Linked DNA regions of Elephas maximus indicus. The protein of the gene in region 1 binds, or shares a complex with, the protein of each later gene. Links are inferred from orthologs where the notes say so. Each region holds a gene or a part of one and is shown in the gene's direction. Other genes may lie near its edges. The genes, in order: BNIP5 and BAK1.

Evidence for each region.
Region 2: the proteins of BNIP5 (region 1) and BAK1 are in contact, whole or in part, in a crystal structure (PDB 8IGC), measured with the Homo sapiens proteins. The link is inferred for Elephas maximus indicus from reciprocal best matches to the Homo sapiens genes BNIP5 and BAK1. Residues at the interface, in NP_001010903.3 of Homo sapiens: Ile246, Ile247, Gln248, Met249, Ile250, Val251, Leu253, Leu254, Lys255, Arg256, Val257, Gly258, Asp259, Gln260, Trp261, Glu262, Glu264, Gln265, Ser266; in NP_001179.1 of Homo sapiens: Leu78, Ile81, Gly82, Ile85, Tyr89, Glu92, Phe93, Met96, His99, Leu100, Tyr110, Lys113, Ile114, Ser117, Leu118, Ser121, Asn124, Trp125, Gly126, Arg127, Val129, Ala130, Phe134, Ala180, Leu183.

Annotation. Positions count from the first base shown.
Region 1 is NC_064819.1:100,034,671-100,050,384, reverse strand, and holds the start of BNIP5 (protein BNIP5), read left to right. Parts: upstream 1-9,887; 5' UTR 9,888-10,157; intron 10,158-10,193; exon of another isoform or gene 10,194-10,200; intron 10,201-15,714.
Region 2 is NC_064819.1:96,356,139-96,371,989, reverse strand, and holds BAK1 (bcl-2 homologous antagonist/killer), read left to right. Parts: upstream 1-8,593; 5' UTR 8,594-8,846; intron 8,847-10,935; 5' UTR 10,936-10,966; coding exon 10,967-11,036; intron 11,037-12,373; coding exon 12,374-12,509; intron 12,510-12,864; coding exon 12,865-13,008; intron 13,009-14,109; coding exon 14,110-14,290; intron 14,291-14,429; coding exon 14,430-14,537; 3' UTR 14,538-14,599; downstream 14,600-15,851. Other genes in the region: gametogenetin-binding protein 1-like, read right to left, coding at 2,238-2,288, 4,235-4,374, 5,330-5,480, 5,696-5,790, 6,324-6,412, 7,124-7,602. UniProt on the Homo sapiens protein: Plays a role in the mitochondrial apoptotic process. Upon arrival of cell death signals, promotes mitochondrial outer membrane (MOM) permeabilization by oligomerizing to form pores within the MOM.

The DNA of each region.
Region 1 (15,714 bases):
AAGAATGTTTATTGTGAAACTACCACGACTGCAAGAACAAAAACAAAAAAGAAAAACATGCCAAAAAAAGAAGGGGGAAAAAAAGGGTAAGTTGTGGAGCTGTATGTACGGAATGCTCCCATCTATGCAAATAATAATAATATATGATGCTATATGCACAGAACCATCACGTGTCCTTCAGTTTGTTGTACCGTGGTGGCTTGCATGTTGCTATGATGTATTTGCATTTCAAATGCCAGCAGGGTCACCCATGGTGGACAAGTTTCAGTGGAAAGTCCAGACTAAAAAAGGTTAGGAAGAAAGGCCTGGCAATCTATTTCTGAAATTAGCCAATGAAAACTTTATGGATCACAACAGAAGAACACAGTCTGACTCGCTTGTTTTGGACATGTCATCAGGAGAGATCAATCACTAGAGAAGGATTTTGTGTCTAGTGAAGTAGAGGGCCAACAAGGACATGGGAGACCCTTGGTGAGACAGATGGGCAAAGGAGCCACAACAATAGACTCAAAAATGCTGGCGATAGTAAGCATGATGCAGGACCGTGCAATGTTTTGTTCTTTGAGTCCACTCGAAGGCAGTTAACAACTAGAAGAGCTTATTCAAAACAGTGGCTCTCTGTAAAGCAGGGGGATGTTATAAGGGTTTCTTTTGTGTTTTGAGTTACACACTTAACCCACTGCTGTCGAATTGATTCCGACTCATAGCGACCCTACAGGACAGAGTGTAACTACCCCATAGGGTTTCCAAGCCTGTAAAAATAAATTTTTTTTAACTGTGGTTTAGATAAAGGTTTACAGAACAAAGTAGCCTCTCATTAAGCAATAAAACAATTAAACACCTATTGTTTTGTGACACTGGTTACTATCCCCAGATGTCAACACTCTCCCTTTTCAACCTTGGGCTCCCTATTACCAGTTTTCCTGTCCCCCCCTGCCTTTAATCTTGTTTTTTTTTTTTTTTTTTTTTAATGGGCTGTCTAATCTTTGGATGAGGGGTGAACCTCAGGGGTGACTTCATTGCCGAGTTAAAAGGGTGTCCGGTGGCCATACTTTCAGGGTTTCTCTAGTCTCTGTCAGGCCAGTAAGTCTGGTCTTTTTTTATGAATTAGAATTTTGTTCTACATTTTTCTCTAGCTCTGTCCAGGACCCTCTGTTGTGATCCCTGTCAGAACAGCCAGTGGTGGTAGCTGGGCGCCATCTAGTTGTACTGGACTCAGTCTGGTGGAAAAAATGGTCCATTAGTACTTCGGACTAATCTCTCCCTTGTGTCTTTGGTTTTCTTCATTCTTCCTTGCTCCCGAGTGGGTTAGAGCAGTAAAGTATCTTAGATGACCACTCACGGGCCTTTAAGAAAAGAGACGCTACTCACCAAAGTAGAATGTAGAACATTTTCTTTATAAACTATGTTATGCCAATTGAGCTAGATGTTCCCTGAGACCATGGTCCCCACAGCCCTCAGCCCAGCAATTTGGTCCCTCAGGGAGTTTGGATGTGTCTACAGAGGTTCCATGACCTTGCCATGTACAGGTTGTGCTGGCTTCCCCAGTATTGTGTATTGTCTTACCCTTCACCAAAGTTTCCACTTATCTACTGTCTATTTAGTGTTTTTCCATCCCCACCCCTTCCCTCCCTCGTAACCATCAAAGATTGTTTCTTTTTGTGTGTAAACCTTTTCATGAATTTTTATAGTAGTGGTCTCATACAATATTTGTCCTCTTGTGATTGACCTACTTCATTCAGCATGACGCCCTCCAGATTTATCCATGTTGTGAGATGCTTCACAGATTGATCATTGTTCTTTATTGTTATGTAGTACTCCATTGTGTGTATGTACCATAGTTTGTTTATCCATTCATCTGTTGATGGGCATTTAGGTTGTTTTCATGTTTTTGCTACCGTGAACAATAGCAGTGAACATGGGTGTACATATGTCTATTTGTGTGACAGCTCTTTTTTCTCTAGTGTATATTCCTAGGAATGGGATTGCTTGATTGTATCATCATTTCTATGTCTAGCTTTTTCAGGAAGCACCATATCGTTGTTCATGGTGGTTGTACAATTTTACATTCCCGCCAGCAGTGTGTGAGAGTTCTAATCTCCCTGCAACCTCTCCAACACTGGTTATTTTGTGTTTTTTGGATTAGTACCAGTATTGTTGGGTGAGATGGTATCTCATTGCAGTTTTGATTTGCATTTTCTCTAATGGGTAATGATCGCGAGTAATTTCCTCATGGGCCTGTTAGCTGCCTGAATGTCTTCTTTGGTGATGTGTCTGTTCATATCCTTTTAATTGGATTCTTTGTTTTTTTTTACTGTTAAGGTTTTGTAGTATCTTGCAGATTTTAGAGATTAGATGCTGACTGGATTTGTCATATTCAAATTTTTTCCCCAGTCCGTAGGCTGTTTTTTTTTTACTCTTTTGGTGAAGTCTTTTGAGAGCGTGAGAGTTCTAATTTTTAGGAGCTTCCAGTTATCTAGTTTCTCTTCTGTTGTTTGTACACTGTTAGTTATGGTTTGTATACTACTTATACCTTGCATTAGGACGTCTAGCATTATCCCTATTTTTTCTTCCATGTTCTTTATCATTTTAGATTTTATATTTAGGTCTTTGATGCATTTTGAGTTAGTTTTTGTATGTGGTGTGTGGTATGAATCTTGTTTCTTTTTTTTGCAGGTGGACATCCAGTTATGCCAGCTCCATTTCTTAAAGAGACTGTCTTTTCCCCTTTTAATGGACTTTGGGACTTTGTCAAACATCAACTGCTCATAGATGGATGGATTTATCTCTGGATTCTTAATTCTGTTCCATTGCTCTATGTATCTGTTGTTGTACTAGTACCAGGCTGTTTTTGACTACTGTGGCTATATAATAGGTTCTAAAATCAGGTAGTGTGAGGCCTCCCACTTTGTCCTTCTTCTTCAGTAATACTTTACTTATTTTGGGCCTCTTCCCTTTCCATGGAAACCCTGGTGGTGAGGTAGTTAAGTGCTATGGCTGCTAACCAAAAGGTCAGCAGTTCGAACCCACCAGGCACTCCTTGGAAACTCTATGGGGCAGTTCTACTCTGTCCTATAGTGTCGCTATGAGTTGGAATTGACTCGATGGCAGTGGGTTTTGGTCCCTTTCCGTACAAAGTTGGTGATTTTTTTCTCCATCTTGTTAAAGAATGCTGTTGAAATTTGGATCAGGATTGCATTGTATCTGTAGATTACTTTGGGTAGTATTGACATTTTCACAATGTTGAGTCTTCCTATCTATGAGCGTGGTATGTTTTTCCACTTATGTAGGTCTCTCTTGGTTTCTTGCAGTAGTGTTTTGTAGTTTTCTTTGTGCAGGTCTTTTACGTCCCTGGTTAGATTTATTCCCAAGCACTTTATCTTCTTGGGGGCTGTTGTAAATGGTATTGATTTCGTGATTTCCTTTTGAAAGTTCTCTTTGTTGGTGTAGAGGACATTTCATCATTTTGAGCCTCAGTTTCCCAATCTGTGAAATAATGATATATATTTTATAAGTATTATTGTGGGGATAAAAATAATATATGTAAAGGCTTTGTATGTAGGGCCTGACATATAATAAACATTCAATAAATAGTTGTTATTGATGTCAGAGTCCCTGCATGGTAAAAAAAAGCTAACAGACTAGCTGCTTACTGAAAGGTTGGTAGTTTGAGTCCATCCAGAGGTGCCTTGGAAGAAAGTCCTAGAGTTCTGCTTCTAAAAAATCAGCCATTGAAAATCCTGTGGAGTGCAGTTCTACTCTGATACACGTGGCGTTGCCATTAGTCTGAATCCATTTGAGGACAACTGTTGTTGTTATTCTATTAGCAGTAATTATACTGTAGACCATAAGAACCTTGCTCAAGTTTGTGCACGTGGGATTGAAGAGCTGGGCTTGTAGTGCAGCTCTGTCCAATGCCAAAGCCATGGCTTTTCCACTCCATCATGATGGCCACTCCAAGTTGCCCTAGCAGGGGAACCCAGGAATAACTTAGGGAGGGAAGAAGATACTGGGAGTCACTGGAGGGGCAAGAAAAGTTACTGACTTCTCAGGGAAGAGTGAACAGGAATGGAAATTTGTTGAGCACTTTATGCACAAGATATACATTTTGTTATTTTATATACCAACTGAAAGAATATTCTGAGACTCCCTTCTTACCAGTGGACTTTGGTCTTGGTCCTGACCTGGCATGGAAAAGGGCAGCGCCACAGACTTTTAGGTACTTCTCACAGAGGAGGGGGAAGAAGACACCTCTCTGGGGAAGCCCAGTGGGCTGGAGGCCCAGACACAAAGTGGGAGCTGGGTCTTGAATGGGAACATGCCCTCGATTCCAGACAGAGGGTGTGGCCCTGGAAGAAAGAGCGTGTTCACCCGTCAAGCCTGCTCTTTGCCCCTGGAATCACCAAAGGCCGGTGATACATTTTCATAATGTAAACCCTTTTGCTGGGATGAGGGCAGATTCTGGGAAGCTGAGTTCCATGCTCTCTAAGGTTTGAGTGTCCCTTGTGAAAATTCCACTAAAAAATATGCTCTCAGAACCACCTCAGCAACAATTCCTGAGGCTCCTCTACCAGCCCTTTTAATTTGAGACCGCTTCATTTTCACTTGGAGTCCCTGGGTGGTGCAAACTGTTAAGTTCTCTGTTGCTAACCGGAAGGTCGGAGGTTTGAGTCCACCCAAGAGGCACCTCAAAAGAAAGGTCTGGTGATCTACTTTTTTTTTTTTTTAATTAACTTTTATTGAGCTTCAAGTGAACGTTTACAAATCAAGTCCGACTGTCACATATAAGTTTATATACACCTTACTCTGTACTCCCACTTGCTCTCCCCCAATGAGTCAGCCCTTCCAGTCTCTCCTTTCATGACATCTTTGCCAGCTTCCCACTCTCTCTATCCTCCCATCCCCCCTCCAGACAGGAGATGCCAACACAGTCTCAAGTGTCCACCTGATATAATTAGCTCACTCTTCATCAGCATCTCTCTCCTACCCACTGTCCAGTCCCTTTCATGTCTGATGAGTTGTCTTTGGGAATGGTTCCTGTCCTGGGCCAACAGAAGGTTTGGGGACCACGACCGCCGGGATTCCTCCAGTCTCAGTCAGACCATTAAGTCTGGTCTTTTTACGAGAATTTGGGGTCTGCATCCCACTCATCTCCTGCTCCCTCAGGGGTTCTCTCTTGTGCTCCCTATGAGGGTAGTCATCAGTTGTGGCTGTACACCATCTAGTTCTTCTGGTCTCAGGATGATGTAAGTCTCTGGTTCATGTGGCTCTTTCTGTCTTTTGGGCTCATAGTTGTCGTGTGACCTTGGTGTTCTTCATTCTCCTTTGCTCCAGGTGGGTTGAGACCAATTGATGTGTCTTAGATGGCCACTTGTTAGCATTTAAGACCCCAGACGCCACATTTCACATGGTGATCTACTTTTGAAAAATCAGCCATCAAAAACTGTATGGAGCACAATTTTGCTCTGACACACAAGGGTTGCCATGAATTGAAGTTGACTGGATGAGGCAACTGGTTTGATTTTTCATTTTCTCTCAAGACAAAAGTGTATCTTTTGTGTTCCCTTGTTGCATACCCAGGACATGCAAGGGGGTGCATAGCCTTTCTGAACAAACATATATACTCCCAGAAAAAAAAAAAAAAATCTCTCACCGTTTTGTGTGAATATACCCATTGCCATCGAGTTGATTCCAACTCATAGTGGCCCCATAGGAGAGAGTAGGACCACCCCATAGAGTTTCCTAGGCTGTAAATCTTTCTTTTTTAATTTTTATTGTGCTTTAAGTGAAAGTTTACACTGAGCGGCTGGTGGGTTAGAACCTCTGACCTTTTGATTAGCAGCTGAGCGCTTTAGCCACTGTGCCACCAGGGCTCCTCATGAATATGTCCAGAAAAAAAAAAAAAAACAGAACCCAAACCTATTGCCATCGAATGAATTCTGAATCATAGCAACCCTGTAGGGCAGAGTACAATTGCCCCATAGGGTTTCCAAGGAGTGACAGGTGGATTCGAATTGCTAACCTTTTGGTTAGCAGCTGAGGTCTTCACCACTGCACCACCAGGGTTTGGTGAATTATACCACTACTTATTTAGTCCTTTTATTGTTGATGAGTATTTGAGTAGTTTCGAGTTTTTGTCTATCACAACTAGTTGAGAAACATTTTTAATTCTCCTGAAATCCAGATTTCAATTCCATGGAATTGGAGTGACCCTCCCAGTCCATTGCTCTGAGATCTTCTTTCGAACCTTGAGCCTGGAGAAAATTGGTTTCCTAAAGTCACCTTTAAGTCAAAAATCACCTACTAAGTACCTTAGTAAAGACCATTTTGTCTTAGGCATTGGGCTCTTTTGAAGAATCATTTACATACAGTCCATTTCCAGAAATAGAACTTCTAAGGCCTGACTAGAAGCTGTGCTTAAGGGTAACTTGTTATTATATCAACACTGTTCTGGCCCTGTTTCCATGGCAGTGTCGATGATATGGGGTATAAGAATCTTTGGATGTTCTTTAATCTTTGGAACATTTCTGACTCCCTAGTTGAATGTTACCCTGATTTGTAAATCATATACTAAATAAACGTTGATCTATTTCTATTGTTGGCTTAATATGATTTTTGTTTTAACATAGAGTTGATATGAACACTCTCGTAAATGTGTTTTTTTGGGGGGGAACCTGTGTAAGCATTTCTGTTGTGCGTCTGCCTAGGGGTGGAATGGCTGGGCCATAGGGCAGGTGTCTGTTCATTAGTAGAGATTGATTGGCACACGGATTTCTAAAGCAGTGTATGATCTTCCACTCCTTTCAGCAATGTATCAGGGTTCTGATGGCTCTGCATGCGCGTCAGGTTGTTCTGACACTGGGTGTTGTCGGTCTGAGGACCTACAGCTGCACCACAGTGTGGCTGAATCTCACAAACATGGAGGAGCGTGGAAAAAGCCAGGCATTAAAGAAAGCATGCAGTTTGACTCACATTCATATGAAGATCAAGAACAGGCAAAACGACTTGTACATCAGCTTCGTAGCAGTATTATTCACAATAGCCAATGGTGAAAATGACCCTAGTGTTTGTCAGCCATGCATGGATCCACAAAACGTGGCATCTTTTATAATGGGATAGTATTTAGCCATAAAGAAAAATGAAGTCCTGATACATGCTATGACATGGGTGAACCTTGAAAACATTATGCTGAGTGAAGTGAGTCAGGTACAAAAGGTCAAATATTGATTGGTTTCGCTTACAGGAAATATCTACAAGAGGAAAATGCAGAGTGACAAAAAGTTAGTAGATTCGTGGTTACAAGGGGCTAGGGGGAAGAAGGAATGGGAGTTATTGCTGAAGGAGTTCTGAGTTTCTGTTTGGGGTGATGAAAAGCTTTTGGAAATGGATGACAGTGATGGTAACACAACATGGTGTATGTAATTGCTGTCGCAGAATTGTACACTTAAAAATGATTAAAACGGTAAATTTTTTGTTACATATATTTTACCACAATCAAATTTAAAACAAAACAAATAAAAAACAGACAAATCTAATTGAAGCTGTCAGAAGCCAAGATAGTGTTTCCCTTTGGGGGGTCACTAACTGGAAAAGGGTGTGACAGGGAATTCTAGGGTGCTGGTAATGTTCTCTTTCTTAATCTGGGTGCTGGTCACCTTTGTGAAAACTCATCGGGCAGTATACTTATGAGTTGTACACTTTTCTGTACGTTGTCTTTGAATAAAATGTTCAAAAAATATTCTCTGTCTCCCTCTCTCTTTTCCTCTGCCATCTTTTCTCACAGCATTTGGTTGGGGTCTGTCCCCATCGGGGCTGCCTTCCTGGGCGTCGACTTGTGCAGTCACACAGATGCCAGTGCTCAGGAGAGCTGTGCTTGATTTAATGCTCTCATGCTGCCATCTTGAAATTCGTAGTACTTTTTGAACAAGGAGCCCTGTATGTTCATTTTACACTGGACCTCACACGTTACGTGGCTGGCCCTGGCCACCAGGACAGGCAGCTGCTAGTGGCTGTCCACAGATCCCTGGCCCAAAGCTTGGCCTTTGATGGGCACTAAGGACAAAAAAAAAAAAAAAAAAAAAACAGGGCATCCTAATTAGAGAAGTTGTAGAGTGCGCATGATAGCCCCATGACGGTTCTACCTTCTGTGAGAATCTTTACCAGTGGTTGTCAAGTTGACTTGCGTGGCAACACCGTGTGTGTCAGAATATTACTGTGCTTCACACAGTTTTTAATGTTCGATTTTTTAGAAGTAGATTGCTCGGCCTTTCGTCCAAGGCAACTTGGGTGGGCTTGAACCTCTAGCCACTCAATTAGCAGCCAAGTGCCTTAACGGTTTTAGGGACTCCTGTGGGAACCCAGAGGAGACCTGGTGGCACAGTGGTTAAAGTGCTAGGCTGCTAACCGAAAGGTTGGTGGTTTGAACCCATCAGTGGGTCCACAGGAGAAAGATGTGGCAGTCTGCTTCTGTAACGATTTACAGCCTGGGAAACCCTACGGGGGCAGTTCTACTGTGTCCGATAGGGTTGTTATGAGTCGAAATCGACTCCTTAGCAATGGGTTTGGGTTTTAGTATGGATGGGAACCTGAAAGTGTACATATTGCTGGGTCACAGGACAGGTACATGTATAATACCCCATTTGGCTCTGTGCTCCTGCCCTTCCACCTGGGTTTATGATTATCTCTGTGTGTGCCTGTCTTCCCAGCTACACTATGGGTTCCATGAGGCCCAGGCTTGGCTTATTCACCTCTGAATAAGAGAGAGCATGTACATTGTGCAGAGGGCATGAGGGAGGTGGTTAGTCAAATACAATATGGAAATTTATTTAACCCTTTTTTGAAGCCTGGGCCATCTCTTAGGATCATGAATTCTCTAAATTCAGCTCTGAGATAGCATTTGCACAGAGCCCAGCACCTGTTTGTTGACAGAATGAAGGAAGCATTAATAACTTCGCTACCAAAAATAAAATAGTGGCCCTTTACCAAGGATTTATTAGGTGCCAGGCATTGCTAATACAAAGAAGCATCTTAGAAAAATGCCTGGCACATAGTAGGCACTCAATACATTTTCTTCTTTTCTTGGTAAGTATCATCCCATTCAGTCCTCACAATCACTCTCTGAAGTGCATTCAAAAAACGCTCGTTTTATAAGTGCGGAAACAAGCTCAGAGAGATTGTGTCCCCTCGCCAGGGTCAAGCAGCTGACAGATGGCTTCAGATCTGGGAGGCGCCAAAGCTTAGTGCTTTCACTATTTACTTTGCGTTATTTCCCCATGTCAATTAATTAAGGTGGGACTTAAAACCTTTTTTTTTTTTTTTGCTTCAGTTTAAATAGAACTAGCTTTTTTTTTTTCCTGATTATAAAAATGATACGCTCTCTATAAAGAAAAATGCAGACACTATAGAAAGTGAAAATCTTAGATTTCTTAGAATGTTCTTTCAAGATTCACGGTGACCCTGCCTAGTAGCAGCAGGATTTGGAAAACATGCCCATTCTCAGCTCTTCCTTCTGACTTTGTCTCCAGGTTGAGGAATATGTGTATTCCGTTGATGACCTCCCTTTCTAGGTCCTTCCCTCCCTGCTGGTCTTGGGAGAGAACCGAGGGAGGTGGTGGAGGTGATAAAATGCCTGCAGAACAGGAGTGACGGTTCTCCTCCTTTCCTGTATCTTTGTTTCCCATAAAGGCTTGTTTACAAGTCCATAGACCAGCCTTCCATCCCCAGCCAGACCTGAGGTTGTTCTATGAGTGGTTGGCTTCTTGGACTTGGGTGCAGTAAGGAAGTTATCAAGTGAAACTATTTTTTCCAGGGGAACTGAGCTAAGCCTCCTGTCATTGGAGGAGCGGGAAGCAGCTGCTGTTGGGTCTGGCATAGCAGGTGCAGGAGGCGGCCTGCGCTCCAGCCCCGGGATTGGCTGCCTGTGAGCTCAGCAACTGGTAGACAGGATATATATGACCAAAAGCATCTTCTGAGCCATTCTGAACGTTGGCAACAACAATAGCAGCATCTTCTCCCTTGGAGAGCAGAACCTGACACCTTATCCCATACACCCTCCAGCCGACAGGGAGAGGCGCCCAGCTGCTGAGGGTGGTGACAGACGCAGAGCCCCCTGACTCCGTGACCCCGGTCTGCAACAGGAGGGACTTTCGTGGTTCAAGGTTGGTGAACAATATTCTCTCCTTTGGGGGCTGGAGAAGTTGGGTAGGTATTTTTGGGGTCCTGAAAGGGGGGTAGAACCAAGAGTCAGACCCTGAGTCAAGTCTCAATTCTGCTTTCTAGTTTGCTGGGGCCTCTCTGGGCCTCGGTTTCCTCATCTCTAGAAAGAGTAGGGATCCATTAAGTGGCCTCAACCAAGTCTCTTGTGAAAAGCTCTAAACTAATTTGGAATTCTAAGCTCTGAACTCAAGTCCCAAACCTGCTGCTTGCTAGCCAACAGCCCTGAGCAAAGCCCTTAAATTCCCTGAGGCTAAGTTTCCTCATCTATAGAACGGGGCATCGTGGCCTACCAGCAGGATGTGTAAGTCAAGCTGCAGAGTGTATGTAAAGCTACATAGTACAGGGAGGTATTATTGTCTATGCCTGCACCTGGATTAAAGTTCTATGATTTTAAGTTTTTTAGAAGTTAGTCCAAGGAGGGGGGGTCTTATGGAAAGAACTCTGGTGGCCTGCAGCTCTGATGGGGGCTTTGGCGCTTTTATATGCAGTTGCCTTGAGGTCTTGGATAGAGGACGTGATAGAGGGAATGAGGTATGGGGTGTGGTGGGGGCACCTCTGGGGCACACATTTGAGGCGTTGGATGGAAGGGGAGCGGTAGTCATTTTTGGAGTTCTCCAGCTTTGTGGATGACGGCTCCACTGCCCCCCACTCCTGATCTGCCCACTGCTGTATCCCCGTGCCTGGAGTTCCACCACCAAGGACTTCATCCTTTGGGTTTTGAAGGCTCCCCCAAAAGATACAAATCTGTACCGTTTGGAACACTGATAATGGGTGATACGTGTGTGGTGGTGATAATAAGGAATAGGCAGATGGCCAAATCCCACTGCTTTCCACTGAGGTGCGGGCCAGCCCAGGTGGAGCTCGTGCTCTCCACCTGTGATGTGGTTATTCACTTGACTTGTGTGATCTGAGGTGCGTTAACGGAGGCATAGGGTGCAGACACCCCTGGGCTCTGCTGTGGTCAGGCCCTGGATAAGGATCAGCTGGGGGTATCTAGAGATGGTGCCCAGGCTCATAATGGGCCTAGAGACAGTGTGATCTGAGGAACCACCAAGAGATCTGGAGAATTGGGGATGTTCCGCCTTATCAGAGAGCACTCAAAGGGGTGACGTGACCCCTCCTCAGGTGTGTGAAGACTGCCGCTGGTTGATTCTAGCTCAGTGTAAGGTGGACTTTTCTTAAAATCCATGCTGGCTAGTAGTGGATAGTTTGACCTTGAAAGGTGGTAAATTCCCATTGCAGGAAGTGATCAAACAGAGGTTACAAGACTACCTGCCAGGAATGTGGCATAAAGAATTCCTATACTGTAGAAAGAGGGTACTCTAGTGGTGTAATGGTTAAGTGCTATAGCTGCTAACCAAAAGGGCAGCAGTTGAAATCCGCCGGATGCTCCTTAGAAACTCTATGGGGCAGTTCCACTTTGTCCTATAGGGTCGCTATGAGTCAGAATCTACTCGATGACAACGGGTTTGTGTTTTTTTTTTTTTCTAATACTATAGAAGAGGAGCTCTGGTGGTGCAGTGGTTAAGGGTTCAGCTGCTAACTGAAAGGTCAGCAGTTTGGATCCACCAGCCGCTCCTTGGAATTCCTATGGGGCAGTTCTACTCTGTCCTGTAGGGTCGATATGAGTCGGAATCGACTTGACTGCAACTGATTTGCTTTTGGATACTATAGAAGGAGCCCTGGTGGTGCAGAGGTTAAAAAGCTCAGCTGCTAAGCAAAAGCTCAACGGTTTAAACCCACCAGCTGCTCCATCAGAGAAAGATGTGGCTGTCTGTTGCTGTAAAGATTTCTTGGGAACCCTATGGGGCAGTTCTACTCTGTCCTATAGGGTCACTATGAGTCGGAATCGACTTGACAGCAACTGGATTGGTTTTGGTTTATATTATAGAAAAAGGAGGCCTGCTAGCGCAGTGATTAACTGTTCGACTGCTAGCCAAAAGGTCAGTTGTTTGAACCCATCAGCGACTCCATGGGAGAAAAGACCTGGTGATCTGCTTCTATAAATTCTACAGCTAAGGAAACCCAATGGGACGTTCTACTCTGTCATATAGGGTCGCTATAAGTCGGAATCAATTTGACAGTACGCAACAATAACAATGTACTCTAGAAGGTGGGGCTAGAGACTTCTCAAGTCTCTTCCAAATCTAGGAATCTAACAGGTAATCCACAGAGGAGAAGAAATACCTCGAATGGGTAGCATCTCCCATAAAATTACAGCCTAGGAAACCCTATGGGGCAGTTTCACTCTGTCCTATGAGTCAGAGTCGACTCGGTGGCAAAAACAAAAATGCCTGGGATGCAGGCGTGGGCGAAGAGTGGACCCAGGTGTTAAGGAGGGAAGAGATGGTCACTTTGTCTTGTCCACACCTCTTCCATCCAGTCCTGCAAATGAAGGTTGAGACTCTTCTCCGAGGAACCTCCACACTGTATGTGGAGAGGTGTGGAGAGCAAACTCCATTGCCCTCACCACAGATGTGTCCTTGAGAGCTGCACTGGAAGCCACACCTTCTCAGGATCCCAGGTTGAAGTCTTTGAGCTTGGACTGGCATGACAGCCTGGGTGTGAGTGTGAACGATACCAATGAGAAGCCATGAGCTTACAGTGCAGTCCTTGGCCCTCCAGTTGACTGACTCGTTTCCTTCCCTGGTCTGTGCACCCCAGGTTGTGTATACAATCATTGCCTCTGGACGTTGGTGTCTATATCTGGGCAAATGTGGACATCTGACTCTGTGTGTATCAGTTATGAAAGGCATGCATGTGGATGTGGTTATTTCTGTTGGTGTGACCTTAGCAACTTCGCTCACCTGTAAATCCTTGGTGTAAGTCCATGCATGTGTGTGTGCCTGTATTTATGGAGGCCAGTTGGTATAAGAGAGAGAAGATGGGACTTAGAATCAAGAGGAGTGGATTCAAGTCTCAGCTTTCAACTTCCTAGCTATAGGGCCTTGGGCAATCTCTTAATATCAGAGCCTCAATACTCCCACAGCTAGCCTGATTCAAAGATCTGGGCAAAGATTACATGGGATAATATAGATGAGAGGGCTCTCTGGGTGCAGTGTGGCACAGCGGAAAGTGAGCTGGTTTTATGTCTGCGTATAGCTCATTCCCTCCATAAACACTGAGAGTCTCCTAGATGCCATGGACACAGCAGGTGGGTCCTTTGTTGCGGAGGGCAGGTGGCAAACAGTTACATTGGTAATTTTTTTTCCCAGTTACTGTTCAGTAGATTCCAACACATGGTGACCCATATGTGCCAGAGTAGAACTGTGCTGCATAGGGTTTTCAGTGGCTGATTTTTTGGAAGTAGATGGCCCGGCCTTTCTTCTGAGGTGCCTCTGGGTGGACTCAAACCTGCAACCTTTCAGTTAGCAGCTGACTATGTTAACCATTTGTATCACCTTAGCAACCTCATTGACAATTCTTCCCTTACAATTGGGATTGGAAAAATACAAGGTGTTATGAGCCCATGAAGGAGCGCCAGTCGTGTAATAGTTAAGTCCTTGGCTGCTAACCGTTTGGCGGTTTGAACTCACCCAGTAGCTCTGTGGGAGAAAGATCTGTCGGCCTGCTCCTGTAGTGATTATAGCCTAGGAAATTCTATGGGGCAGTTCTACTCTGTCACATGGGGTTGCTAGGAGTCGAAAATCAATTTGACAGCACCTAATGACCACAATGATAATAACAACTGGCATACACGAGTGTGTCTCAGTGACACGTGTGCCTGTGGTTCTGATGTGTGGGTCCACACGTGTGTGCCCACACCCACTCCCTCTGGGATCGGCGGGTATGGGTGTATAGCAGTAGGGTATTTGTTAAATACCTGTTTTGTGATGGTTACAGGTGTGGGGAAGGGAAATGGTAAAATCTCTACGTGACACACTGCAAGAGCAGTCACAGAGTGAAGCAGCTGCGTGAGCAAATTAGAGATGAGTGGATACATGATATCAGTGTACAATTTAGAAAATAAACCAAAAAAGGTGGTAGGCTTGGGAAAAACGGCCGAGCTTCCTGCTCCATAGTAACCCGAAGTCAGTTTTGCGTGCTTTCTTTTGTTTATTGTTGTTTTTAAACACGTCACTGGTATATGTCATGTCTTATCAGAAGTCATGTGATCTGCTGATTAGTTGGGTGTTTATGAGCTGATTTGGACTTTGCTCTGAAATTCACCCTCTGTCAAGGCAACAAACAAGTTTATAAGAGCAGCTGGGTTTCCAGTAACCCAATGGGTGTCTGCTGCTGTCACAGGGTTGCTGGTCTGGAAGCACGTCCTGGGCAGGGTGGGATTCCCCGATGGTCAGACTGAGCATTGGGCAAAGCAGGGGCGCAAAACAAGAAAAAAGAGGAAGGAAAAGGAAATCCTGCTTTGATGAATTCTAGATAAGCAGAATTTTACAATCAGGAAGTCTAGAAAGATTTAATTTCAGCCCATGTAGAATACGAAGTTGGGGGAGTAATATTAAAACGGAGTCCCTGGGTGATCCAAATGGTTAATGTTGTTTGGCTGCTAACCAAAAGACTGGAGGTTTGAGTCCACTCAGAGGCACCTCAAAAGAGAGGTCTGGTGATCTATTTCTAAAAAAATCAGCCATTGAAAACCCTGTGGAGCACAGTTCTACTCTGACACATGTGGGGTTGCCATGAGTAAGTCAACTCAATGGCAAGTGGGTAATATTAAAACAATTGCTTTGGGGCACGCAAAACACACCCTCCACAGAGAAGTTCCACAGAGTGTTTTATTCTTGGGGGTGGAGGGGGTTTCCCTCTTTGGCTCAATCCCTGGGGCTAGAGACCAAAACGGGGGACACAAGAGTTTGAAGACAGAACCTTTAGAACATTACAGAGGAGGAGTGGTCGGAGAGGTAGCAGGAGAACTGGGCTGAGCTCAGCCCTCCCACCCTCTCCCTGCCTCTGGGGCTGTGGCAGCTGCTGTTCGGCTCTCTCTCACTTCCCTCTGGGCTCCGGGCACTGGTTGTCCCAGGGAGGGGGTGGCCAAACCAAGGCAGATATTTTTGAAAAATCTTAAAAAACAATACTAAACTAAACCCATCGCTGTCAGGTCGATTCCGACTCATAGCGACCCACAGGACAGAGTAGAACTGCACGCAGGGTTTCCAAGGCTATAAATCTTTGCAAAAGCTGACTGTCACGTCTTTCTCCCACAGATCCACTGGGTGAGTTCAAACCACTGACCTTTGGGTTAGCAGCCGAGCCCTTAACCACTGGGCCACTAGGGCTCCTTCAAGAAGGAAAAACATGGCCTTGTGGAATTATATTGATGTTTTGATTGGAAGTAGCAGTGTGTCCTTCGAAAGTGGTAGGAGGACACTGTGGCCATCAGCAATTGTGAAAACGGTTTCCATAGCAATGACAGCTCCTTAAAAGATGACTGCGCCTCTCTTCCCATCAGCTGGGTACAGACGCTCTGGCCCTCCCTGTGATGGGCTCCCTCCAGCCAAGTTAGTACAAGAAGAGCAGCAGAGCTGAGCAAAAGGGTCC
Region 2 (15,851 bases), about 3.7 Mb from region 1:
CTGAGATTGAGATGCTCCTGTCCCTGAAATGGGGTGGCCACAGCCCAGAAGCTGAGGTGGCTTGAGTGACCACTTTATTCTCAAAAGAAGTCAAGGATCCTGAGCTGCCAGCAGGGGCCCAGCCTACCTCAATCCTGTGTTATGCCTTCCTGTGCCCAGATAGGCCCAGGAGGCAAGCCTGACCCAGGGGGCAATGGTACAGGATAGGCAGAAGCTCTGTACTGGGGGGATCGGGGCCTGGGATTCCCTCTCCAACCTAGGCCTGATCAGAAGGAGAGGTGTTCTCTCCATGGGGCCCATAAACAGGGGGTGGGGCCAGAGTGAGTGCTATGTCCATGTGGGCTGGGGCAGGGGCCAGGTGTACCCACGGAGCCCACAGGCCACCCTTCAACCCCCCCCATTAATGGTCTGACTGAGACTGGAAGGACCCCGGAGGTCGTGGTCCCCAGGCCTTCTGTTAGCCCAAGACAGGAACCATTCCCAAAGCCAACTCTTTGGGGTTGGACTAGACTGTGGGATAGAAGATGATACTGGTGAGGAATGAACTTCTTGGATCAAGTAGACACATTAGACTATGTGGGCATCTCCTGGCTGGAGGGGAGATGAGAGGGCAGAGGGGGCCAAAGCTGCCCGAATACACACAAGGAGAGAGAGTGGAGGGAAGGAGTGTGCTGTCTCATTAGGGGGAGAGCAATTAGGAATATATTTAAAAAAGCAAGGTGTATATAAATTTTTGTATGAGAGACTGACTTGATTTATAAACTTTCACTTAAAACACAATAAAAATTAACACCCCCCCGCCCACACACACAACAGCCTGCACTCTTGGAGGAAATGGTTAGTAGGACAATTAGGGCACAGGTGAGTCATCTGGTCACAAGGCCACCTCCCAGCTGACTCAGGGGGACAGTCCAGATGGGTCTTTCCACCAGCCCCTAGCTCAGAACCTGAGTCAAGGACTCCATTGACTCTGGCCAAGAAGCCCAGGAGAAAGCCCTCAGCCCCATTTAAGAGATGATAGCCTCTCTGAGCCCTCCCCCTTCTGATTGCCACCCTCCAGCCGGATTGAGGGGTGGAGGGGACTTCCAGCTTCACTGGGCTGGGCTGGGCTGGGGCCAGGTGTGTACAGCTCCCCACCTCAACCCAAGCATGTGGCTATGGGCTCATCTCTCCAGCAAACATTTGTTGCTATCAATCCTAGTAATTATTAAGAATGGCAGCCATGTTCTGACATTGAACTTCAGCTCTGCAGCAGTCCTCAGATTGGACACAGTAATGAAGGACGTGGTAGGGGTCAGTGGGGAACGTCAGACAAGCTACCATAAACAGGAGTGCTGCTCTCTTTCATATATATGCTTAGAAGCTTGGCCTGCACCCAGGCAGAGGGGAGGAATTGGCCATCCTCCAAAGCAACAGGTTTACAGGGAGGTCAGCAGAGCCTCCTGACAAACAGTGCCCCCTGGTGTCTAAACCAGGACTACCCCCCCCAACCATGGGGTTGCAAAGGATGGTTGCTCCAGCCTGGGACCCGCCCCTCCTGCATCAACCCCAGGGACCTGTCGTCTGTTCTCCCAGCCCAGGCCTCCTGAGTCAGGGGCCCTAAATAGCTGAGGCGGTCCCCAGGGTCCCAGGGCCGCTGCTTTCCTGGCTTTGTCCCTTAGCTAGCTGGGCAGGAACTTCCTGCCAGAGAATTCCCGGATCCTCCTGGTGAGGCCACAAACATGGCCTGGGAACTTGGGGAACTCGAGGAGGGAGGGATGTCAGGGAAGCTCCTCCCAGCAAGCGCAGGACTGTGGGCAGCAGGGCCTCCCTGGCAATCTGGAGGTGGGCTGTCTCCCACTCCCATGTTGGGCCCACCCTACCTCCCGTCCTCCTGGCTCCAGGGCCCTGCTGCAGAGATCCCACCAGAGACCAGGGCTCTGCAGCCACACCCTGGCAGCCCCCAGGGTACAGACTGGGGATTAGACTGAGATCCTGGACAGACTGGGCTTGGATGAAGCTGAGGATGAAGTGGTGGGGTCCAAAGACAGACAGAAGAGCCACCAAAAGCAAACTGGGTTTTTATTACCAACACTGCAGGCCTGGATCCAATGGTGGGGCAGTGCTGGGCCAGCCCACCCTGCAGACACAAGGACACTGGTCATTCCAGGACCGCTTGGCCCTAGGGGCTCCTTGGATATGCCCTAAGAAGAGGGGGACACATCCCAGGCAGGGCAGACTCAGGGCCAGTGCCCGCTTCACTCTGGAGGCCAGTTCCCCATCTCGTCCATCTCCTCGAGCAGCAGGTGCTGGGGGCAGAAGGGGTGAAGGAAGATGCCTCAGCTTTTTCGGGCTCCCTCCCGGCCCTGCTCTGCACCCCATAACCTTCCCATCTACTCCCAAGTGACAAGTTCCCAGAACCACCTTTTCTAGACCTTCCCCACATCCCCACAGCTGACCCAGCTCCCTCCCCCACTACTTCATGGAGGGACCTTTCTCCCTCCAACTTACGGGAACTCCTTGGAAGTTCCAGGAGTCAGGTACCACAGCCAACCCCTCCCTTCCTTCACCGCTGTCCTGGACACCATGCCAAGGGGGCTTGGTGCCCTCCCCGCCAGTTTAGGGTGGTGCTTCAGCTGCCTCAGTGCCCCTCCCCCAGGTCCCCAGCATTCCCCAAAGGTGGGGAGGGACTTCCTTCCCCCTCAGCTTGATGTCCCTGAGGGCAGATACAGAGAGAGTGGGGGGAGGGGATGATGAGGCCAGGACCCTTGAAACACCCAAGCGAGAGAGGTATTCCTGAGGCAGCTCTGTCTCCAAAGTGAGGACTGGGCTGGGCCCTCACTTGCCACTACCCAGGGACTCCCTGAAAAAAAAAAAAAAGCCAAACCCATTGCTGTCAAATCGATTCCAGCTCATGGTGACCCCATGTGTTACAGAATAGAACTGCTCCATAGGGTTTCCTTGGCTGTAATCTTTTCGGAAGCTGGTCACCAGACCTTTCTTCCGCAGTGCCACTGAGTGGGTCTGAACCACAAATCTTGAGGTTAGCAGCTGATTGCAAATCACTTGGTACCACCCAAGGACCTTAGGAACTCCCTAGGCCCCCCAATACTGCACACGCTACCCCAGAGCTGTGACCACTGGGACTGGGTTAGGTTCCCACCGCCAGCAGGCAGGCTGGCTTAGAAAGTGGTTCTGGAGGAGCAGGGAGGGATGAGAGCAGACTGAAAGAATCAGAATCCTGAAAAGGGAACAGTGAGAAGGCCCTGTCAGAGCTATTGCTCTGTGCGGTTGTGGGTGAGGTGACGCAGCTTGTTCAGCACGGTAGAGGGGGCTCCTGTGAGACAGGCGTGAGGGCAGGGTTAGGACAACGAGTAGGATGCCTTTCTGTATCCATTACCCCCAAGGAGTGAGAGTAAGAAGATCGTAATCCCTGGCACCAGGAGTGTCCTTACAGCTATGGCTACATACTCTTCATCTCCCAGATCCTTGCAGGTGGAGTAACCAAGGCCTATATTCAAAGTCACAGAGCAAGTCAGGCGGAACAGGCACTCTGACCAAAGAACTTGGTCTCTGAACCCTATGCTCTTGCCTTTTCTCAGCTACATGGACCAAGAGGGGCAAATCCTGAATGAAAGACTGAACTGATGAATGAAATGGAACTGAGCTCAAAAAAGGCACAGACAGGTTTTCTAACAACAGAGCCATCAATGTGCACTCAGAGAAGCTTAATCTTTAAGCCCCAAGGCTGATGTCGGGGAGGGTGAGCAGGACGGCGGTCCTCAAACCCACCCAGTGCATCTATGTGTGTTTGTGGAACTGCGTGGGAGTGGGACAGAGAATGGAAAAACAGCAACATTATATGAATTACAGATGCACAGAAAAGCCCTACAGCCTGTCTGGAAAAATCCCCTCACTGTACAGATGAGGAAACTGAGGCCCAGAGAGGTGAAGGGACTTGTCCAAGCCCACACAGCAAGTGAGGCAAAGCTAAGACTTAAAAATGGACATCTGGGTCAGTGAGAGACAAAAAGATAGATGGAAAAGTGTGTGAGTGGGTGTGCCACACACACACACTCAAGTGCAGGGGACCAGGGTCCTAATCTCAGAAACACCATCACCAAGCAGAGGTTATATCTCCCCAAAGTGTAGACTGATGCCAGGGGCAAGGCCCTGTGAAGATGAGAGGCCTCCAACCCCACTATCTCTGGTGCCCGCAAGCAGAGAGCTGGAGGTCAGGATGGGCTAGACATACCTGGCCATCCACAACGCCCGCCTCCTCCAGGGTGATCTCTGGCTGGGCCAGCAGCTCCCGGCCCTCTTTGCTGCCCATCTTCCAGAGGCGGGACTCCCGTTGCACGGCCAGAAGCTTCTTCAACTCTGACTCCACGAAACCTGCGAGTCAAGTCGGAGAGGTGGGCGGGGAGGGGTGGAGGCAGGAGAAGAGGGGAGCAACCTGCTGGGGACCCAAGGAAGAGAAGGGGGTTCCTGTTCTCCAAATCTCATCCCACCCCTGTTCGATCTCTGGTCTGTAGCTCTTTCTTCTTCCATTACCTGGAACCAGCCAGATACCATCTCCCCACCACCCTGCCTTCCCCAGGAAGCTCACTTTCCGCAGATTCCCTCCTGCAAAGCCTGAAGACATGTAGGAGGGCAGACATCTGCCCCCCTCCCTCCAGCCACAAACTCAAAAGCATAGATCTAGAGCCCAAACTGCCTGGTTCAAGTCCCAGCTCTGCTACATACTAGCTGTGTGACTTTGGAGAAGTTATTTAAGCTCTCTGCTCCTTAGTTTCCTCACTGTGAAGTGGAGATAATGATAGGACCTACCTCATGAAGTTGCAATGTGGCATCATGTGAAAAGTACTTAGAATAGGGTCTGGCTCATAGTAACAGTTACGTAAGTGCCAACAATAATTTTATCGTATTATGTTATTACCACTAAACCAACTGCTCCCCATGTCTAGGCTGCTGCGGGGGCGGGGGGGGGGGGACACAGCAATGCATGATGGGAAAACCAGGAATGGAGGTGGCTTTCCAAAGTAGCTACAAGGCAATGGGCTACCCGATCTAGGCTGAGGAAAGGGTGGCGCTCCAAGAGCCTCAGCCTCAATCACAACCCCCATCACTGCCTCTCAGCCAGGAGGGAGGAGGCCCTTTCTCCTTCCGGCGAGACCCAGCCCAGCCACACCGAGGTAACACACGGATCGCCGGTCTGGGGCGATCATCTTAGGTCCTCTGATACCACCTGGTGGTCAGAACTGGTATTGCACTTCTGAGCCTCTGGCCAACGGGGGGCTCCCTGGGCCAAGGGGCAGGTTGGGAGGGGAGGAGGGGGCACCACACTTACCCACTGTATCCGTTGACCTAAAAGTCTTATGCAGTGGTGATTGGAGGGTGACAATGCCTGGGACACAGAGGTTAAATAAGCTGTCCTCTTCCTCCACTTCCTCTTCCTCCCCTTTATCCTTCTCTGGGGGCAAGCCGACCTTGAGAGGAAACTGGAAGGATGCCAGGTCTCTGAGTAAGTGAGGAGGGCCAGGGCCCACACTTGCAGCCTCCCTCCCCAGATTCAACAGGAAGTGGGAGGAAACAGCTCTCAAAGGGTTAAGAAAAGGGACTGCTGTCCCTGGGCCCAAGCCAGATTTGGGCATGGGGGAGGGGACCCATTGGGGCCTCACTCCCACCCCTACCACCCCAGGCTGGTCCCACAGACCTTGGCCATGGCTGATTTCTGGAGCTGCTTGTACAAGCTGAGGAGGTGGTTCCAGGGAGTCATCCCTGCCTTTGAGGAGGCCAGCTTGAGGTCTCCTGTGAAGGAACAGCAGTCACTGCCAGGCTGATGGCTGTAGGGGGTGGCCCAGGAGGGTAGGGATGTGGGAGGCCTGAGCTGGGAGTGGGGTTTCTTTGCTTTCTTTAGCAAACACCAATTATGTGTCAGGCACAATTCTAGGCACTTTACAAATAACATCTCATTTAATCTTTGCAATTACCCTGAGATAAAACCAAAACCAATTCGATTCCAACTCATAGCCACCCTATAGAACAGAGTAGAATTGCCCTATAGAGTTTCCAAGGAACACCTGGTAGATTCAAACTGCCAACCTTTCGGCACTACGCCACCAGGGTTTCTGCCCTCCGAGATAGGTACTATTATATGACCATTTTATAAATGAGGAGGCTGAGACAGAGAGGTTGAGAAACTTGCCATTATCACACAGTTTGGCAAGGTAGTTGGGATTCAAACCCAGGCAGTCTGGCTCCAGTGTCTCCTCAGACTGTGTCCTGTGTCCTGCCGGGCCCTACACCCCTGAGAAGTCCTAGAGGAAGAGGGCCACACTCACCGTCAAGCAGATACTCTTTCTCTTCCTCCCTGGTAAAGGTCTTGGCCCTCTGCAGGCATTCTTGCTCCACCTCCAGAGCCTGAGCAATCCTGATTCCAAACCACAGTCAGGTGGGGGAGGTGAGTAGGGCCCAGAAATATGGCAGGGGGTGCCCCAACCTCCCCCAAGGCTCTCTGACACACCCTACTCAGCCCCTTCCGTTCTCCCTCTCCCAGCAGCCCCCTGTTCTGCCCTCTGGGGTCTTTGTCATAGGGGGGGCTATCCCTTCCCAAAAGTCATGTAAGGAGGGTGTGGGGAGGTATGTCTCTGCTTCTTCACATGGGGTTGGGAAATAGGAGAGAGGGTGGGGAGGGAGGGCAGAGTTGAGTGGGCCTTGGAAAAGGAGGGTGGAGCAGGAGTGGGAGCCCCAACCACCCTGGCACATCAGCTCCTCAGAGCTGAGGGGACCTGGCCCCTCCCTCTTTCATTCATGGTGCCCCCATCCCCCTCACTTGTGGGGGAACCCTTGTCTTTGCCTCCTCCCCCACCCAAACCCCCCAATTCCAGGCTCTTCCCCTCACTTGATGCTTCCATACCTTGGCCCTACCTTTAATCCCTGGCTCCTTCCCCCACCACCTAACCGCCCAGCCCCCATACCCAGCCCCTGTTCAGCCCTTTACTCATCTAAGGACTACCGTTCCTGGACTCTGCTCAACTTAGGTCCCCTATCTCAGGCCCATATCCTTCCACCATCTTACATCCTAGGCCCTTTCCCCACCAGGGTTCCCCCATCGCCACCACCCACAGCCCCAGCCCCTTACCTGCCCGAGGCCCCTGTATCCCCAGAGGCCTGCCTTGCTGCCTCGTTCTTCTCTTCCTCCTCCTCCTTCTCAGACAGGCTGCCCAGCACCTCCTGACTTCCTCTGGGCAGGACCGACTTCACCTCTTTGCCCTGGGCCAGCACCTGCAGGATCTCCATGGGGGTGAGGGTCTGGGGCCACATATCCCCCACCCCCAGGCATGAGGGATCATGCAGTAGCAGGTGCAGGGAGCCCTTGGGAGTGGCTACCATGAGGGCATCAGGCAGCATGGAGGGTGGCTCGATCTTGCTCTCTTCTTGGCCCTGGCGATCCATCATGTGGACGGCATCCTGCTCTTGAGAGGGACACGTCCCACCTCTTGCTAGTCCCTTGTTAGAGCGCTTTGGGCTGCTCTTGCTCCTCATCAGGTTACGGAAAAAGCGGAACATGGAGGAGTGGCCCAAAATTCGGGGTCGGTGGGTTGGAGCTGGGGCCTCCATCCTGAAGGGGACCCTGACTCAGAGGGAGGAGCCCTAGTGGTCACCCCAGGACCAACTGCTTAAGAACAGGAGGAGTTTTCAAATGAAAACTTCCAGTTAGAAACTTCCAGGAGTTCTAGAAGGCAAAGGTCAGGTGGGGGGTGGGGTGGGGAGGGTGACTTTGGTAGGGCATGGGGTGGGTGGGAGAGTAGTTAGGGGCAGAGGGGACAGGCAGGTGATGAGACAGGGGGTCTGAGGAAGCTGGGGGGGATGAAGACTTGGGGGAGGGGATCTTGGTGAGAGCCCCAGGAGGCCTGGTGGGAGTGAACAGGAGAGGCTGGGAGGGACTAGGATCCCCAGAATGGGGCAGGGCACTGTCGAGGACTCTACCCATACCTCCACCCAGCCAGCTTTCTGGGCTTGCCCTGTCCCTGAGAACCATTTCCTGATGCCAGACAGTATGCGTCCTTCCTCTTCTCTGCCCCCTTAGCACCCAGCTCACGCATGCCCAGAGGGCAGCACAGACCTCACCATGTTTTCATCTCTGTTTACCTGCCTGTGATCGTCAGGGTTTTGTATCTAAGGTGCTGGCGCATCGGTTGAATCTCATTTATTATTATTATTCCCCGCGGCACCTACAGACCTGATTATAAACCCAGCTCAGTGACCTTGGGGGAGTACCATATACCAGCTGAGCCTCAGTTTGTTCATCTTTAAAATGGGCAGAGTTCACTGACCGTACCCGAAAGGGATGTTGAGAAGATGTGATGAGACAATGAGGTTGCTAAAGTGCATGGCACACGGGTGGGTGCTTAAGAAACTTCGCCATCCTGGCTTTTTTATTGGTGTTGATTGATGGAAGGGGTAAAAGACCAAGACAAAGCCAGGGAGTCAGGGGTAGACAAAGCAGTGGGAGAGGGGAGCCGCTCCATCCTGGCTGGATCTGGGGCGGGGCGGGAGCTGCCCTTGGCCTGGGAGCCAGGCTGAGAACGGGTGTCGCATCCGGCGGCCACAGAGGAACTTCCTCTAGAGGGAGCTGATTGGAGCAAGCGCGGCCCCGCACCTCTATGATCTGCAGCTCTGCGCGGGTCCTTCGGCCACGGGACAAGCTGAGGCGGCATCCAGACGCCGGGAATGCACTGACTTCCATTCCTGGAAGCCGGGCCTGGGCAGGCATCCTGCCCCAGAGAGCAGCCGCTGGCCCCTTGGGATCCCAGGCCTCGTCCCTGCTGAGCCATCCCCAGTCTAGGCCAGGCTCCGCGCAGGTAAGCTGGGGAGGTACTGCCCCTCCAACGCCCTCATCGCAGCCCCAGCCCCAGCCCCAGCCCCAGCCCCAGCCCCAGCCCCAGCCCCAGGGTGAGGCAGGGAGCTTTTGAGGAGGTGGATGGGGAAGGGGAGGCCTTCAGGGCTTGCCTCCACGGCTCCACCAAACTCCGCTGAGAGTTTGGCTGTGCTGGGGCTCCGTGCTGCTGACCCTTAGATGGCTTCCCGTCTTGCTGTGGCCCTGGGGTGCTGGAAAACCGGATGCCAGAGAACTGGGACCCTTAGCAGTCTGGAGGGTGGGGGTGGAGGTCAGAGCCAAGGTCAAGAGCCGGAGAGAACTTTCAGGGCGGTTCCTGCCATCCAGGAGCCCTAGACCGGGTCTGAGGCCTGATCAGGCATCTCCACTGGGGAACACTCGGCCAGAGTCAGTAGCAGCAAGCCCAGGAGGTGGGGGTAGAGTGGACTCCCCTTACCAGGAAGTTGGGCCACTTGGAATGGGGGACGGGGGTAGGCCCAGGTTGATGCAGACTGCTGACCCTGAGGACCCGCCTGCTCCTGGTAGTGAACCCCTGGGGTGGTGATAGAGGGGGTTGGAGGTGCAGTCAGCATCCTCCTGTCCTGTGGTCTTGGGATGCCAGGTTTCAGGGACCAGAGGGGAGGGAAGCCATCTTATCCAGTAAGAAGCTGCCCGGATGGGGTTGTGCCAGGCAAAGGCCTGCTTTAAGGAGGCCTGGTGCCCCCGGGCATAGGAGAGGGGGGTCTGCCTTAGGTGTGTCCCTGAGAAAGTGGAGGGGTGGAGAACTGAGTGCACAGGTGATCAACCTTTGCCCATTCCCTTCTTGGAGGGCTCCTGGGAAAAGATGGCCCCAGGCCTGAGAGGGAGGAAGGTGAAGGTACGGAGGCCCTCCCTGAGGAGGGGGCTGCTGTGCTTGGCTCTGGGTGGAGCAGCCCTCCTCAGGGCCAGGAGGATGGGTCATTCTCACCAGGGTGATGGAGGCATCTTCAGGGAAAATGGGGTCCTGGAAGGGGGTGCAAACTGAAAGTGAAAGCTCAGTCCAGGAAATGCTCTTTCTTCACAAACAGGCTTCACAGAGCAGATCGCTAGAGCAGCCCTGTGACCAGGACTGGGCAAAGGGGAAATTGGGGCAGGAGGGCAGCTGTGTGGTGTGGGTGCGTGGTGTGAGGCAGGGTGGGGGCTGTGAGGAACGCCCTGCTTCTTCAGCTCACTCCAAGGCAGGAGTTGGGAGGGTACAGGCAGGAGGTAAAGGGAAAATGGACACCCTCTCAGGTCCACAGACTGGAAAATAAATCTCCAATGAGTGTTGAGTTTATGAACTCACAGAGATTCAGAGAACCAACCTGAGTTTCCTTGACTAGCTATGTGGCACTAACCACCCCATGCTTCACTTCTCCCACCTGTGAAATGGGTACAATGATACTTACCTCACTGGGTTAATGTGAGTTTTCAACGCCCAATACCAGGCAAGTGCTCATAAGTGGTAGGAGTATATAGTAGGCACTCAGGAAATGTTTGGGGCTAGATAGCCTGAGTTGGAAAACAGGTGTGTTCTGACTGGCCAGGGGGAAGTAGGGCCTCCGAGAAGAACTTCATGGGTCATTGGCTAGAGGTGGCAAGCTTGTGGTAAGCGTTGCTGGGTAGGGTACAGGAGGTCCCAGGAGCAGCTGGAAGAACTAGTCTCACTTGAGGTGAAATGGGACTGAGCTCCACGAGGCCGCTGCAGCAGCCACACCCTCCCCAGAGGCCCTGGGTGCCCATTGAGGACACCAGGGTGCAGAGAGCTGGGCGTGAATCTTGACCACACACTCGGCATGTCTTTGGCTGCCTCACCTCTCTCACCGCACCATCTATTCAGGGTTACCAGTTAAAATGCTTGATAAATTCTGCTTTTGCCCAGCAGACTCCACAGGGACCCTCGGTGGTGGGATAAGAAGTGGCTAGAGCAAGGGCTGGGGGGTTGTTCCAGGAGTGGGGGAGCCCTCCCTGCTGTGTGGCCTGGGAACCTCTCTGGAATCCGCAGTTAGTACTCCTTGCTCATCCCTATCTCTGCTTTTTCTCACCCGTCCCCACAGGCTGACGCTGTCCTCCACTAGAACCTGAAAAATGGCATCTGGGCAAGGCCCGGGTCCTCCCGGGCAGGACTGTGGAGACTCTACTCCACCCTCCACTTCTGGTAATGATCTTCCTGCCCCCTCCATCACTCATCACATAACCACAGGGCTGTCTGTGTGCATGGAGAGAGTGGAAGTGGACAGGGCCAGGACTTGTGGGCAGGCTCTCCAGCCTCAGTTTCCCCACCTTGGAGAAAGGCCAAAAGTATCTCCCTGCCCAATGCAGGTGGCCTGTTGAGCTCAGAAGCTGGAGCTGCAGTCAAGTTTAAGCCCTGGGAAGGGGAGGAGTCTTGGCGGGGGAGGCTCCAGAGGCTGAGAGAGGCCAGGGAGTGAATGGGAAGATGGGCACTGCGCCATCCTGGGGCAGAGGGGTGGAATCAGGGGCTGAGGAAGGAGGAAAGAATGAGGCGTGGATGTTGTATCCTTGTAGGAGGAGAAAGAAGGAAGTAAATTGGCTTATCATCGAGTCAGGTCAGCTAAACAGGGAGAGCAATTGTGGTGACTTTGGGGGAAGAAGTAAGATGGGTGCCCTCCCTCCCTCTTCCAAGGGGGTGGTCAGGGAAGCCTGGAGCTCAGGGTCTACCACACAAGTCTAGGTCCCAGCTCTGTCCCTATTTCCCTATTTGACTTTTCTAGGCCCAAAGCCACAGTTTCAAATGTGTTTCTCATGTTTCTGGAGCCACAGGTATGGGTACCTTATATACACCAAAATACTCGGGAGCCCAAGTGCCTGTGATTATAGCCTGGCTCCCCTGCTTGTTCTAGCTGTGTAATCTTGTACAAGTTACTTACATGCCCCGTGTCTCAGTTTCCCCATCTGTAAAGTGGGGATCACCTACTTCAAAGGGCTGTTATGAGGGTTAAATGAAAAGTGTCTGTCTGGACAGTACCCAGCAGAGTAAGCATTAGAGGGTTTTTTTTTTGTATGTTTAAAAACACATTGTCATTGAGTTGATTCTGACTCATAGTGACCCTATAGGACAGAGTAGAAACTGCGCCATAGGGTTTCCAAGGAGCGGCGGGTGTATTTGAACTGCCGGCCTTTTGGTTAGCAGCCAAGCTCTTAACCACCACACTTCCCACTAAATGTTTACTAGATGTTAACTAAGGGGTGAGAGCCCTGGTGGAGCCAGTGGCTAAGAGCTCCTCTGCTAACCAAAAAGTCAGCAGTTCAAATCTACCATCTGCTCCTTGGAAATCCTATGGGGCAGTTCTACTCTGACCTATAGGGTCACTATGAGTCAGAATAGGCTTGACGGTAATGGTTTTTTTTATTAACTAAGGGGTGGGAGTAGGGACATTTCTGTTCCCAGGAGAGGACCACTAGCCTTGAAGAACCCACAAAGGGTGGGGTACTGGGATTGGCTCTCCCTCCCTGACTGTCAGCTTTGATCCTCAGAGGTGCAGGTAGCCAGGGACGCGGAGGATGTTTTCCGCAGTTACGTCTTTTACCGCCATCAGCAGGAGCAGGAGGCCGAAGGGGCGGCCACACCCGCTGACCCGGAGATGGTCTCCTTGCCCCTGGAGCCTAACAGGTGAGCAGTGACCCCGGGGCCCACAGGGACATCAGGGAGGAGGGGCCCACCCGGGGTCAATGGGTAAGTTCTGGACTTGGGGAGGCCTAGGGAGACTTGTCCTTCTCCCATTGTTGCTCTTTTTTCATTTCGGGTTCCCACACCCATCTGGGACCTTGCGCCATTTTATTTTAGCCCACACCTGCTCATTGCCCCTGAGCCCAGCTTTCATGTGCTGAGAACTCTGTCAGGGACCTCCAAGGAGGGGTGCACAGGGCCAGGGTGTCTTGAGCAGAACCGCTTTGCTGTGAGGCCAGCCCTACTGTGTGCTGTGTGCCCATTTGTCTGTTCACCCACCTGCCTCCCGTCCCTCCAGTGTCATGGGGCAGGTGGGTCGGCAGCTTGCCATCATCGGGGATGATATCAACCGGCGCTACGATGTGGAGTTCCAGACCATGTTGCAGCACCTGCAGCCAACACCACAGAACGCTTCCCAGTACTTCATCAAGATTGCCTCGAGGTAGCGCGGCCCCCTCTCCATGCATTCCAGCCACTGCCTCCCTGCTGTCCTGTCACTACACGCTGTGTCCCTACCCATGTGATGGGTTCCTCTAACAGTGTCAGCAGACCCGTCTCCGGTCCTGGATCTGCTGTTAACTCACTACTGGCCTTGGCTACCTGTCTTGCTCTCTCTGGGCCTCAGACTCCTCATCTTTTGAGCTCTGACACTGAGGACTTGACTGGTTAGACCAAGAACTTTAGAGAGGCCATGAGTGGGGATGTTCCCACAGCTCCCCAGCCTAGCTGTAAGACAGCCCTCCTTCCAGTCTGGAACCATGTTCCACACAGAAGATGGTAAGGTTGCTAACCTCTACCAGGCCCTAAGAATGGCTTCCATTTAGTATAATATGACATCTATGAGGCAATCTGGTGTAGTGGTTAGAGAGCCCAAAGCTAGGTTCAGATTCCAGCTTTGCCGCTTACTGGTTTTGTGAAACTTCCTAGCCCTCAGTCTTCTCATCTGTAAAATGAGGAAATTATGCTTATAGCACCGTCCACAGTTAGGAATCGCTAGCTATTGTTACCATCTGAGTGAGGGAGGTTCATGTCAATGCAGGTTTGAAGCTGAGGGTGAAGCTAGGAGTAAGTGATAGATTTAGAGTTGGTGCTAATGTCCTGCCCCTGTCCTTGGAGGCCCACTCCCACCCCCACCACTGTGTTTCTGGGACCTGTCCTAACCTCCTCTTCTGTCTTCTCTCTCGGCTGTCCCTCGGGCTGCCAGGCCAGCAGCAACACCCACAGGTAATCTCCCTGCTGCCTCCATCTGCTCATTCTGCCCTCTGCCATCTCCATGCCACTTTGCACCTGTAGACTTCAGGGCCACACCCTGGTGGCAGCATCCAGCTCAGCTGCCCTCTGAGCTTTCTCCTTTCACAGAGAACCAAGCTTTTTCCAAATCAAGGCCAGGCTGGGGCAGCCTCTGTGGCCTGGATTCACAGCTAAGCCATTTTGCTTTCCAGTTGGGAGAGGGGTGGGAGGTACAGGGGGTTGAAGAGGGACAACAGCCTGCTGCCTCCTGGGAGTCCTCAACAGACAATATGGGATGCTTTTTTACCTACAGCCTGTTTGAGAGCGGCATCAACTGGGGCCGCGTGGTGGCTCTCCTAGGCTTTGGCTATCGCCTGGCCTTGCACGTCTACCAGCATGGCCTGACTGGCTTCCTGGGCCACGTGACCAGCTTCGTGGCAGATTTCATGCTGAAGCACTGCATCGCCCGGTGGATTGCACAGAGGGGCGGCTGGGTGAGTGCCTGAGGGCTGGCCACATGTGCTGCAGGAGCTGCCCCTCCCAGACCTGCTCTGTCCCCAGGGCGGGGGCGGGGGGTTGTATGCTCTGCCAACCCCTCTAACCCCTCTGTCACCACCCTGTCTCTCCTGGCAGGTTGCAGCCCTGGACTTAGGCAATGGTCCCATCTGGAATGTGCTGATAGCTCTGGCTGTGGTTCTGTTGGGCCAGTATGTGGTACGAAGATTCTGGGATCCCAGATGAGACTCTTGCATGAATGTCAAGCCTTCCTCCCCTCCCCTCCCCTCCCCTCCCCTCCCCTCCCCTCCCCTCCCCTCCCCTCCCCTCCCCTCCCCTCCCCTCCCCTCCCCTCCCCTCCCCTCCCCTTCACTTCCCTCCCCTGCAGGGGTCACCTTTGTTATTGTCAGGAAAAAGGGGCAGGGATACAGAAGCTTTAGCAAGTGGGTACTCCAGCTCTGGGGGACCCCTGCCCAGGGGTCAGTTAGACTGCAGGGATGCCCCAACATTGCATGGTGCTAATGGGCCCCCCTCTCTGGGCCCCATCCTATCAGAGAGGGGCTGCAGCCTCCCCCTTCCGCCCTGTCTGCTGGGCCCCGGGGAGATTGATCACCTGGAGAGACAAGATGCTGAAAGCAGTTCTCCCCAGGGCATTTTTTTAATGGTTTTAGCTTTTTATAATACCCTTGGGAGATCCCAACCCGAGTCCTACCACTCTGTCCTAGGCATTTGGGAGGTGGGAATCAGTAGGCCTCCCTTGTGGTCCCCAGGATTCAGCTTATTCTAGAAGGTCAGAGCTTGAGAGCTGGGATAGAGCCCAGCCCTGGCCCTCCCTGCTTCACAGACCTAAGCCTGTGGTCCTGCTCAGCTTTCCCACCCTCCACCCCATATTCCCTTTTTGACTGGACTCTCAGGGATTCTGGGCCTGGGGTAGAGTGAGGTAGGGGAATGGCGCAGAGAAGAGCTGCCTGACTTATCCATCAGGACCCTCCAGCCCTACCTCCTGAGGGTTCTCTTTTCCACCTTATAAACACTGGCTCCCAGCCCATTCACTACAGATGAAGGACTATGCCCCTCCCATCCTTCCATGTGAGGAAGACAGGGGCCTTGGGCAAGTGAAGTATGGGCCTCCTTGCCCAGACTACAGGGTTCAGGACTGTGGTTTGTTATTGTCAGGAAAAAGGGGCAGGGAGCTCATTTTGAGATTTCTAAGTGGGAGAAGGGCTAGTAACACCACTAGGAATCCCAGAGTTGACCCCTTTCCCCTCTGTCATGGCATGGGCACAGTGTAATCTGAGGGTGGGCATGGGGAAACTGTGAATACTTGAACTCTACCCTCTCCCTCACCCCTCTCACCCCCCACCTCCCAGCTCCTCACCTGCCTCAGACCCACCGGGGGGGATGAGTGCCTTGTCTATCCTGACGGCCTAGGGGTTGGAGGTAGCGGAGGAGAAATTCTTGGTTAAGCCAAATACATGGGGGGCAGATGGACCCCCCCACCGCCCCACATCCTCAGAGTGTGTTTGAAAATAAACTGTGCAATCCCCTGGTTGGTCATTG